3 linked regions of the Danio rerio genome follow. The protein of the gene in region 2 purifies or fractionates together with the protein of the main gene of each other region. This does not show direct contact. Links are inferred from orthologs where the notes say so. Each region holds a gene or a part of one and is shown on either strand. Other genes may lie near its edges. The genes, in order: angel1, eif4ea and eif3f.

What was found.
Region 1: the proteins of eif4ea (region 2) and angel1 purify together in Homo sapiens (affinity purification with mass spectrometry; 3 studies listed by BioGRID and IntAct, counting the BioPlex papers as one, with this or other methods). This does not show direct contact. The link is inferred for Danio rerio from reciprocal best matches to the Homo sapiens genes EIF4E and ANGEL1.
Region 3: the proteins of eif4ea (region 2) and eif3f purify together in Homo sapiens (affinity purification with mass spectrometry; 3 studies listed by BioGRID and IntAct, with this or other methods). This does not show direct contact. The link is inferred for Danio rerio from reciprocal best matches to the Homo sapiens genes EIF4E and EIF3F.

What each region holds. Positions count from the first base shown.
Region 1 is NC_133192.1:58,746,935-58,749,601, reverse strand, and holds the end of angel1 (protein angel homolog 2), read right to left. Parts: exon of another isoform or gene 2,393-2,667; coding exon 2,368-2,392; intron 1,718-2,367; coding exon 1,551-1,717; intron 963-1,550; coding exon 814-962; 3' UTR 608-813; downstream 1-607.
Region 2 is NC_133189.1:48,178,991-48,183,136, forward strand, and holds the start of eif4ea (eukaryotic translation initiation factor 4E-1A), read right to left. Parts: upstream 2,893-4,146; coding exon 2,875-2,892; intron 1-2,874. UniProt on the Homo sapiens protein: Acts in the cytoplasm to initiate and regulate protein synthesis and is required in the nucleus for export of a subset of mRNAs from the nucleus to the cytoplasm which promotes processes such as RNA capping, processing and splicing.
Region 3 is NC_133176.1:11,701,640-11,706,083, reverse strand, and holds the start of eif3f (eukaryotic translation initiation factor 3 subunit F), read right to left. Parts: upstream 2,908-4,444; 5' UTR 2,881-2,907; coding exon 2,769-2,880; intron 2,590-2,768; coding exon 2,519-2,589; intron 1,381-2,518; coding exon 1,301-1,380; intron 147-1,300; coding exon 9-146; intron 1-8. UniProt on the Homo sapiens protein: Component of the eukaryotic translation initiation factor 3 (eIF-3) complex, which is required for several steps in the initiation of protein synthesis.

The sequences.
Region 1 (2,667 bases), on a different chromosome or scaffold from region 2:
TGATTCAGGATCTGAAAAGCTACTCATCGATGAATTTGCTCTTCAGTGTTTGGACTCTCAATAAAGACTTCAAACCACACTGAACTGAGCTAAACTGAACTTAAACACTAAACCTGAACTAACCTGATCCAGTTACTATGACCATTTGTGTGAAGCTGCTTTGACACAATCTACATTGTAAAAGCGCTATACAAATAAAGCTGAATTGAATTTTCCGGGACCGATCATGTTCTCAATCTTATCGTTAAGGTTTTTTAATTATGTTGCACATTTTTACACAAAAATGAGTTCCTAGAGACAATACCTAGACTTAATATTCTCATTAATTGTTGAATCTCTTAAATTTATTAAGAATAATAGAACAAAACAAGCTTATCATAGTCTTTTTCTTAGTGATTGAGGCTTTGTAAAGATATTTTTCAAAAGAAAATTGACAGAACTGGACTGATATGATCGCGGTGCTGCGTTTAGGACCAGCTGGAGTTTATTTATTAGTGTTTATTTACTGCAGGGTTGAACTGATTGTTCAGTTAGCAAAACCAACAGCAGCACATTCACTTATTCATTCAGGTGCATTCAATATAACATCCAATAATCCAAACAAACCAAGTGTATAATTATGATTTATTAATTAGGAACAGTCAATTATACACGCCGTGTCAGGTTTCCTCACATGGTAGATTGTAATTAACACACATACACTGAAAATTCTGAATACACAACAAAATACTGATCTGACCAAAACTGATTTTCTTTGTGCGATTTACAATACAAAGGCAGTTAAAATAATAAAGAAGACGAGTGCTAGCGTGGTCATATATCCGCTGAGCTGAGCTGAAGTTTGACCAGCAGGCTGAGATGATCAGAGGGGAAGCTTTCATTGGGTAAACCTCGCAGAGACCAGAGATGAGCTTCAGACAGCAGAGACAGACGAGCCAGCAGTTTCAGACCACCAGCGCTCTCTGAAAAACACAAGCACACTCGTCAGACAATAAATACAGAACTATGTGCAACATACTTTAAAAATACAACCAATAAATACAGCAGAGTCACAGAACACACTCGACACACACTCTTAATGTAATGTTAGCTGCAAAATGCTAATCTTAAAATCATGCTAACAAACAAATGGCCAAAAATTATTATATAAAATAATATAATGTAATTTAAATAGGAATTGGTGTATATTTTAAACTTCAAAGTTCAATTTAAATTATTATTTTTTATTTTTGTTAGATTTTTCCAGTCATCCACCATCATTTTGTGGCTCCAAAGTATCTGTTCAGGCATCGTTTTGGCACCGGTACCATTTTAAAAGCATCGATTTAGAACCACTATCCACGATACCCAACCCTACATGCGCTATAGGTGAATTGGATGAACTAAATTGGCCATATGGTGTGAATGTGAGAGTGTATGGGTGTTTCCCAGTACTGGGTTGCAGCTGGAAGGGCATCAGCTGCGTGAAACTATGCAGGAATAGTTGGCGGTTCATTCCGCTGTGCAAACCTCTGATAAATAATGGACTAAAGCTGAATGAATGATGATACCTCCGCCTCCGTTGAAGCCGCTCTTCTGCCGTTGGGAGTAGAAGATGTAGTCGACCATGGCAGCTCCTTCAGAGTTCAGTGTCGTGACCAGATCAGTCAGTGTTTCGGGATGAATATGACTGTAAGCAGACGTCAGACTCAACCTGTGACGTAAAGAAGGACTGAACCTGCCAAAATACAGTCAGAGTTTAGCATTTGAGTTGCCCCTAGACAATTATTTACACTAAATGTGCAGAAGAGTAGAAAATTATAAAGACTTTAACCTGTAATACCTTTAACCTTTACGTACAGCTGATTTCAGCATGAACCCAAATATTAAAATACAATTATGATATTAATTATATAAAAGTATTTTTGGTTTACTTTTTGTCTTTACGTTTATGCTATGATTTTGGAGATGATGAGTTTTGTTTTCACCAGTTTACCACTAAATATCTCCACTCACTTGCACAAAAGTTTGCATTATGTTAACATTAAGCTGGATTTTTCAGCAGGGATGACGTCAAACTAAGAAAGACAAAACCAGAACATGAACACAAAAAGTGTTGATGCCCAAAGTTTTTGCTTTCCCATTACAAAAAGCATTTGCTCACAAAATATTTGTAATTTAGTGTTTGCCAGAGGATCTTTCAGAGTAACTCAGCTCATTATAGCACACGTGTGCTGCTGATGATGATGATGATGATGATGTGATTATAAAAGTGATTTGATTTCAACTTTGCATTGATTTGCAAAACATTTGTGCTACCTGGATGAACTTCACATTTGCAGAAAAAGAATAACTTTGAGGGAAAATAAATAAATAAATGAAACTCACCTTAGACTAAACATGTCTCTTAGGTCTGAAAAAAATAGAGCATAAAAATCAGAGCATATTCCAGGACGTGTCTTCAACAATGACCCTAATAAGTGTGAAGATCGAAATAACAACTTCCTTAATAGCTCTTTAAGATCTAGAGTAATCGCTTGTTAAATGTAATAATCTGTGACTTTTGCACAAACGTGACTTTTTATCGTCTTATTTGTCAGAAAGCGTGCAGTTCTGTGTTAATGCTTGAATGTTTAGTAGCATGTCGAGCAGGTCCATCGCAAGCTGCAGGGCCTAAATGAAGACTGG
Region 2 (4,146 bases):
ACCAGTATTGAAATACAGTAGCGTAGTAGGCCTAATTAAGCAGCTACAGTTCTGCAGTTTAAAAAAAAAAAGTTTGAACATTAACACTGCTGTGCTTATGTGTAAAAAAACAAATAAATAAAATTTCAATGTTTAAATTAAAATGTAATTTTAAAAGTTAATTAAAAATGGTAGGCTACTGTTCTTAAAAAGTAAAGAAAAAACACCTGTACTTAAATGTAAAGTGTTCACCTGTAGTATAAAAGCCTGGAAATGCTGCTTGGACCTCATAAATATAGGCTATATGTCATCATATTCATATACGAGTCATTTTTTATAAATATTTAAATATCTGTTGCATGTAGATATGGCATATCGGATTACTCTGCGTACCACTAGAAGGCAGCCCGCGTACCACAGTTTGAGAACCACTGGTCTATGCAGTTTTTTGTTTTAAAATGAGAAAACGCTATTAAGAGAGCAATCAGATTTTTTTTTTTTTTTTTTTTGTATTGTTAATGACTTTCTAAACGGGTGACAAAAGCCCCCACGAGTGAGCAATGGCCCTAACAAAAAAAAAAAAAAAAATGAACAAAAAATACAAATAATGAAAATAATAAGAAAATTACTCTGGCTTTCCACTTTCAAAAGCATTCTCTTTCAGATGAAACATGTTATAATGGTATATGCATAAATATTAGAATTTATTAACAAAATCTAGTCCTAAATGAGTCGAAGAAATAAAAAAAGGACTTAAATTTTTTCAAAAGCTTTTTGGCACTAATGTAAATAACATTAAACATAAATAACTAGCATTTTCATATTGAAGCACTAGCAAAGTTTTGTCCTAGTACTAAAAACTAAGCCAGGTCAAACTCCCTGGAATGTATTATCAGGCTTAAAGTGAGCACTATTACTTACTAATACTTTTCCATTAGCTCTGCCTAATACACACTACATTACCAGACAAGGCATTGGCCGGTATATGATTCTGACGGTGTAATAACCTTGGATAAAAATATCATGGTTTCCAGGTATCACGGTATTTCGATTACTGCTTTAATTTTTTTTTCCTTTTTGAAAACAATATATTTTATTTTTTGAAAGATTTTTTACAAATCTGGAGCAGTAAACATGTCAAGATATATAATGAAAATGAATCATAGACATGAATCTTTGGATATCTTTCCAGCTTGAGAAACTGTTGTCTTCAAAAACAAACAAAAAGTAAATAAAAAATCTTACACGGTGCGGTATTACAGAAAATTTTGACAGTTTTAAAACCTTGACTTTTCCAAACCGTGGTATACCTTGAAAACGGTGATCGTCACCTGCCTAGATCACACTGTATACGCTACAAAATACTGAGGTAAAGTTGGATTTATATCCGCACATTCGTTCATTTAATACAGTCCTTGACTACTAATATAAAGTCCCCATTTAGAATTGGCAAATAATACTTTTCTGAAATTATATTAAGAAAATCCAAATATGCTAATATAAAAAACTTTTTTACCTCAATTACAAAAATATATAAAATAATCTAATTAAATAAACAGACTTATGGCACCATTTTAGTTTCAGAAACTCTGAATAACCTCAAAACAGCATTTCAACAAAATCTTGAGGGTGAATAAATAAAATGGGTATAAATACTTAAAAAAATAACAAGTAAATTTCTTTATGGGTGCTACTAGATGAATAATTTAACCTAATATGTTTTGTTCAAAAGGTTATTTAGTTAAAAAGTTCTCAAAAGCTGCTTATATACCCTAATGAAAGAAAACTGATAGAGGTTAAGTTGGTTTAAATTCACACATTTATTCATTTAGCAGTGTCTATATTGGTTACCATATTACATTGAATATTCAATCGGAATTAGCATGCACGTATGACTTCTAAACAACATTAACACTATTTAATTCACTGTGAACAATGTTGTGCTTTGATAGTTTAACTGCTGATTTCCCTATTTAGAATTTGCAAATAATACGTTTCTGAAATTATATAAAGAAAGTCCAAATATGTAAATATAAAAACAGTTTTACCTTAATTACAAAAATATATCAAATAGTCTAATTAAATAAACAGACTTATGACACCATTTTAGTTCCAGAAACTGAATAACTTCAAAACAACATTTCAACAAAATCCTGATGGTGAATAAAAAAATTGGTATAAATACTTAAAACAATAACAAGTAAATTTCTTTATGGGTGCTAGATGAATCATTTAACCTTATAAGTTCTGTTCAAAAAGTTATTTAGTTAAAAAAGTTCTCAAAAGCTGCTTATATACCCTAATGAAAGAAAACTGCCCATATTTGAAACAGAGTTTCTCCAGAGGAAGAATGAACATTAAGTTTCAACCTTCTCATTGTTATTACACTAAAACATGAATCTTTCTAAACACATAATATTAACTCACAAACTAAAGGTTATATTACAAAAATCTTTAAAAGTATACAAAGTTAACCTTTAACAATATCGCAATATGTAACGTTACTTATATTAAGTTTCATTTACTGTCCATACAGAGGCTAAAAACAAACCACATACTTTTCATTGACACATCAGCAAACTACGAGTCTAAATAACAGAGATGCTTCAACACCACGTTCAACTCTCTGAAAAAACAAGCAGCCCACAGCCCTCCATTTCAGAGAAAACATCAACTATTTCACACTTTTGAACAGTCTCCTTCAAACGCATGTGTGCGACAGTCGGGCATCAGCTCATTTGACTGTATGATGGAATATAAATCTGTCTCTACTTGAATATTTATTCAAATTAGCTTATACACAAGCCCTGGTCGACATAAAACTCGTATTACAGATTAAACCCCGCCGTTAAAGTATGTGCAGTAGTGTTTGTGAGAGCAGTTACACTAACTCACCGGTTCAGCAGTCGCCATCTTCTACAAATGTGAAGGGTCTTTCCGTGTGTGAAAACAACATTTGATTGGCTAAACTCAGGCGAACTCGTGTGCGAGCAGCGCGCGCCCGGACAGCGACACCCAGAGGACGGCAGTCTGTTTATGACTGCCAAAAATGTCTATGGGAATTTAATAATAATGATAATAATAATAATAATTAAAAAACTTTATTTAAAAAAATATTATTTCGAGGTGCTTCACAGATATTTAATCAATGATACCAAAACTCTTTTACAAACTACTCTTTTTTTTATTATTATTCTTTTTAAAACTACTTTTATTAAATTATCATCTTGCTTCGGACACAAAAATACATTTGTAACGAATTGTAGAACATTGAATTGACCTGAAGCATTGCCCAAAAATTTAGAAGAATGTTATAAATGGAAAAAAATCATTTAAACACGTAATATGAGCTTTATTTAGATTTTGTAATTACAAAAACTTTTATTATTTGTCTCATTCATTCATTAATTTCCTTTTCGACTTAGTCACTAGATTAATCTGGGGTCGCCACAGCGGAATAAACTGCCAACTTATCCAGTATGTTTTATGCAGCGGATGTCCTTTCAGCTGCAACCCATCTCTGGGAAACTTCCAAATCACACTCATACACGATGGACAATTTAGCCTACACAATTCACCTGTACTGCATGTCTTTGGACTGTGGGTGAAACCGGAGCACCCGAAGGGAACCCACGCGAACGCAGGGAGAACATGCTTCTTTACACAGAAACAGAAACAGCGACATTTTTGTTGTGAGGCGACAATTTGTCTCACATTAAATGAAATAATTTACTTGGTTTAATGTTTTTAAGAGTCATATTGTCAACATTGGCATTATTTTACTGTATTATCTTTGAATGTTCAATATTAACTATAGCCTATTTTATTTGGCAAATATATACTTTTAGTCATTAATTTATTTTGTGGCAGATTCATATTACTTTTAGTTTTAAGAATCACTACAAATCATACATTTTGGTTTTCATTTGTTTAGGCAACTTGGACAATTTGATGTTAAGAATCAAAACTTTCACAAACATTGACAATCTTACTAAAATCAATTCATTACAACCAAATAATCAAACGTGGTTATAAGTATCATTGACAAACTAGTTGAACTGACTTTTCTAATAAACATTTTACATAATAAAACAGACAATAAATACGATCTTATTGTTCAAACCTTCAAAATAATTATATCAAGCCATTTACACTGCAAAGGTTTAT
Region 3 (4,444 bases), on a different chromosome or scaffold from region 2:
TGTGTTACCTGACGTAGGCCCGGATGTTCATTTTGTTGCTCTGCAGTGCCGTGTCCACAGTGAGGTGAATAGGGTTTGGAGCCTCTCTGCTGTAATACTCATGGATCAGAACCGAGTGCTCAGTGATGTCAAATCCTGTGGCATACCTGCAAAAACAACACAGCCTCTTTCTTCAGTGAAACAACATTCCTTAAGTTTATCTGAAATCAGATTCTATTATTATATTTTGAAATATTTTAGATAGTCATTTTTGTAATATTTTCCATTTTAAGTTCTAATAATTCTGTTACCTGTATAATTATTCTTTTTTGATATATAGATATAACCTACATTATGGAAGCTACCCTGTCACAGTAATCAATATATGAACTTATCGCATTGATAAGCCGTGTCATATTATATTGACATGACCTCAGACATTTTTAGTGATGCAATATATATCGCCCATACATAAAAATGAATTCTAGCAACATTTCAGCTGGTTTTGCAACATCTCGATCTCTATTGAGGTGTCAGTATGGTTTAAAAAGCTCTACAGGTTTTACTATAAATTGCTATAGAAGATTTTCATGTGGGTGTCTGACAACTAAAAATAGATCTGCTAGCAGATATCACAGCTTCTGTTACTTTTTGCCTTGCACCTTTTTGTTAACATTTATTATTATTTATGATATGCGTTTTTACAATCTCATTCCAAAGCCATAGGATAACTAAATTAAATAGTCTTAACAATAAAATATTATGTGTTCTTTGTATGAGTGTACTTGCATTGTGGTGATATTATATTGTCATTCTGGTATTATATAATGAGTGGCATAGAATGGTATTAAAATCACAATAAAATCATTTATCGCAATGTATTTTGGTGCAATATACCGTACAACAAAAACTAGATATATCGTGACAGGCCTAATGGAAGCTTGCTTTTACAATGGAATAAAAGGCAAATATACTTAAAAAAAAGAGTAGCAATATAAACTGAACTGTAAGAACAACAAATGAAAATGAAATGAATATCTGAATTGTGAAATATAAACTTGTAAACATGAGATATACATTTAAAATGGCTGCAAAAATAAATCATGGGACTGTAGGAGAAAAAAATATCATTTTATTTAATTTTCTTATTTTAGTTATTTTACCATAGCGCAAAGCAAAATGCATTAAATGAAAAATAACAAATGTTCACAAAAGTTTCTAAACCTTCTAAAAATATAACAAAAAATGTGCTTACAACAATAACTTAACAAAACTTTAGCAAAGAAAAGAATTATATTAATTTGGAAATGCGGCCACATACCATCCAACAATGACTTCACTCGGCGAAACCTTCTTATGAAGCTCATACATGTTCTTGGCGAACTCCATGTCAACAGCCACCTATTTAAAAAAAATAAAATAAAAATAATTTTAAAAGGTAAATAAATTGCACAATGATGATGATTAAATGCTGGTGCTCCTTAGTAAAGCATAAATAACATATGGTACATGTCCAAAAATACAGTAGCATGTAACATGACACTTTTGAATTAAGTTGGTTTTATATTTGAACATTCAGACACTCGTGTTCAATAAAATAGTAAAGCAAATTTTAAAGAGGCTAATACAGATTCATTCATTTTCTTGTCGGCTTAGTCCCTTTATAAATCCGGGGTCGCCACAGCAGAATGAACCGCCAACTTATCCATCAAGTTTTTAAGCAGAGGATGCCCTTCAAGCCGCAACCCATCTCTGGGAAAAGGCTAATACAGATAAATTAGCAAATTGTTATAGTTAAAAAAAAAAAAAAAAAGCTTATGAACTCTATGAAAGGTCCCTACATTGTTTACCAGGCTACATTGAATAATCGGTCTGAAATGCATGACTTCAAAATAGGCATGGGACGATAACCGTTTTCAAGGTACACAGTGATTTAAAAAAAAAACTGATGTTTTAAAACCGCCAAAATTATCTGCTATAGATGAATTACCAGTTTGTAAACAGTAAAAAAAAAAAAAAAAACTGGAGCGCTACCATTTAGCAGAGCCGTAATCACTATGTAATACTGTGAAAATGTGATATTTATATTAAAGAATATTAACGTCAGAATTGTATACCGGCCCATGCCTACTTTAAATCCACATTAGCACCATTTAACTGACTGTAAACAATGTTGTACTTTAATAGTCACTGGCTGTTAATTTGAGTTGACCGTTTAGGATTTGACAAAGAATACCTTTCTGAAATTACATTAAGAAGGTGAAAGTCTGAATGTGCAAATATAAAATCAACTTTACCTCACTTCAATTTTGGCTGATGGTTTGTAAGTGTATTTCAACCAATCAATTAGCTAAAGATGCATAACAACAGAACATGAAATACCACAGATGTCTCACTCGAACCCTTTAGACCATTACAAAGTTACAGTGAGATACCTGTGATGTGAAATTGTTTTGTTTTTCGTTATGCCTAAAAAGCTACATAAATGTCTGGCACACACTAATGTAAAGGATGTATTAGATGATGCTTTTTTTCTCACCTCATCTTCAGACTCGTTGTGAGGAACAGAGAAGCAGTTGGTGACATCGACTGAATGTTTATCTGCTGTTCCTGTTTGACACACAAACACAACCACCAGGTAAGTGATGCTGCTGATCTGTACAGTTTCTCATCCACCCCAGCCATTCAGCTCGACTACAACACATGCTCCACAAGACCAAGCGACGCTCATGTTGTTTGTAATAATCGCAACTGTCTCATAAATCTCACACAAGAATTCAATGACCCACCTAATAATGTCCCGATCACGCGACTCGCTCCTTCATTCCTGCGCTCGTATGAGTCCACAATCGAAGCCAAAACCACCGGGTGGATTTTCACGACCGGGCCGTGCACCGCCATGATTTCGAAGAGGAAGTAAAAGATGATGATAAACAGAGAAGAAGAGCGCGTCAGTGGGATTCGCGCTGCCGCCCCCTAGCGGATGTAGGTGGCTGACAAAATAATGTGTAAAAAATTATAATCAAATAAATAATTAAACACAGCATGTAAAGTTTTAGTGGGTGGGTCAGGTTAAAGTTCTTCGAGGTTTGCTTGGTACATATCCATTTTTTCAATGGACAATTTAATAGCAACACAACTGCATGTTAATGCCAAAAATCGGATCAGCTAACCACATGGCAGCAATCCAAAACATTTAGACATGATGAAAACATGGCCAAGACAACGCACATGAAAAGATAATGGAGTAATTCATAGTAAATTGGCTACGATAGTGTTTTTGAAACAAATGATAGTAAAGTTTATTATACTGTAGGCCTATACTATAAAGTATTAAGTTAACAACACATGCTAATAAATGCTACTGCATTATCTATAATAAACTGTGTAGGCAACTGTAGTATATTTTAGTTTTACAACAGTAAATTGTGATGTATTATCATGTAGCCTAATATATAACTAACCACAGGCTATTGGGCAACTTGTTTTGCTATAGGCCTAGTTGTTGTAATAACATATCATTTAGGCCAGAGGTATCCAATCTAGGGCATGTGGGCCAAACTTGGCCCTTGATAATCTTTGATTTGGCCCACCATCCCATCTGAGAAGAGAGACTGATAGGGAGGGTTGGGACAATTGCCTTTAACAGAGATCTTAATTTCTAATTTAACGCAACCTTGGTTTGTTTGATTATTTTATTGCTGATCTACAAAAAAAAGGTAAATGAAAATAAACAAGTCAAGGCAGAGGGTGCAGCTTTACTAGTGTAACTCCATTCTGTTTTAAATGAATTTTGTTTTACTATAAAAAGTTCATTATACAGGTGAGGCAGTGGCGCAGTAGGTAGTGCTGTCGCCTCACAGCAAGAAGGTCGCTGGTTCGAACCTCGGCTCAGTTGGCGTTCCTGTGTGGAGTTTGCATGTTTTCCCTGCCTTTGTGTGGGTTTCCCCCACAGTTCAAAGACATGCAGTAAAATGGGTAGGCTAAATTGTCCGTAGTGTATGAGTGCGTGTGTGAATGTGTGTGTGTGGATGTTTCCCAGAGATGGGTTGCGGCTGGCATAAAAAACTTGCTGGATAAGTTGGCGGTTCATTCCGCTGTGGCGACCCTGGAATAATAAAGGGACTAAGCCGACAAGAAAATGAATTAATGAATGAAGTTCATTATATAATAAAATCTGCATAAGATAATATGAAGCAATGTTAAAGTTATTTTTAAATATTAAATTAGGAAACCACCAATGCAACTTTAATGAAATAGAGTTTGGTATGTTTACATTCGGCCCACCACCCTCAATCAAGCCCTTCATAGGAAAAAGTGTGGGCACTTAATGTAATTTCAGTGAGAGACATTATTTACATTATGTCTTTGGAAACATTTGAAAAATCTTTGTTATTTAAAAAAACAACATGCATTTTGGACTACTGGTGGTGCCTTAATTTTAAGTTTCAGATGGAAACGCTGA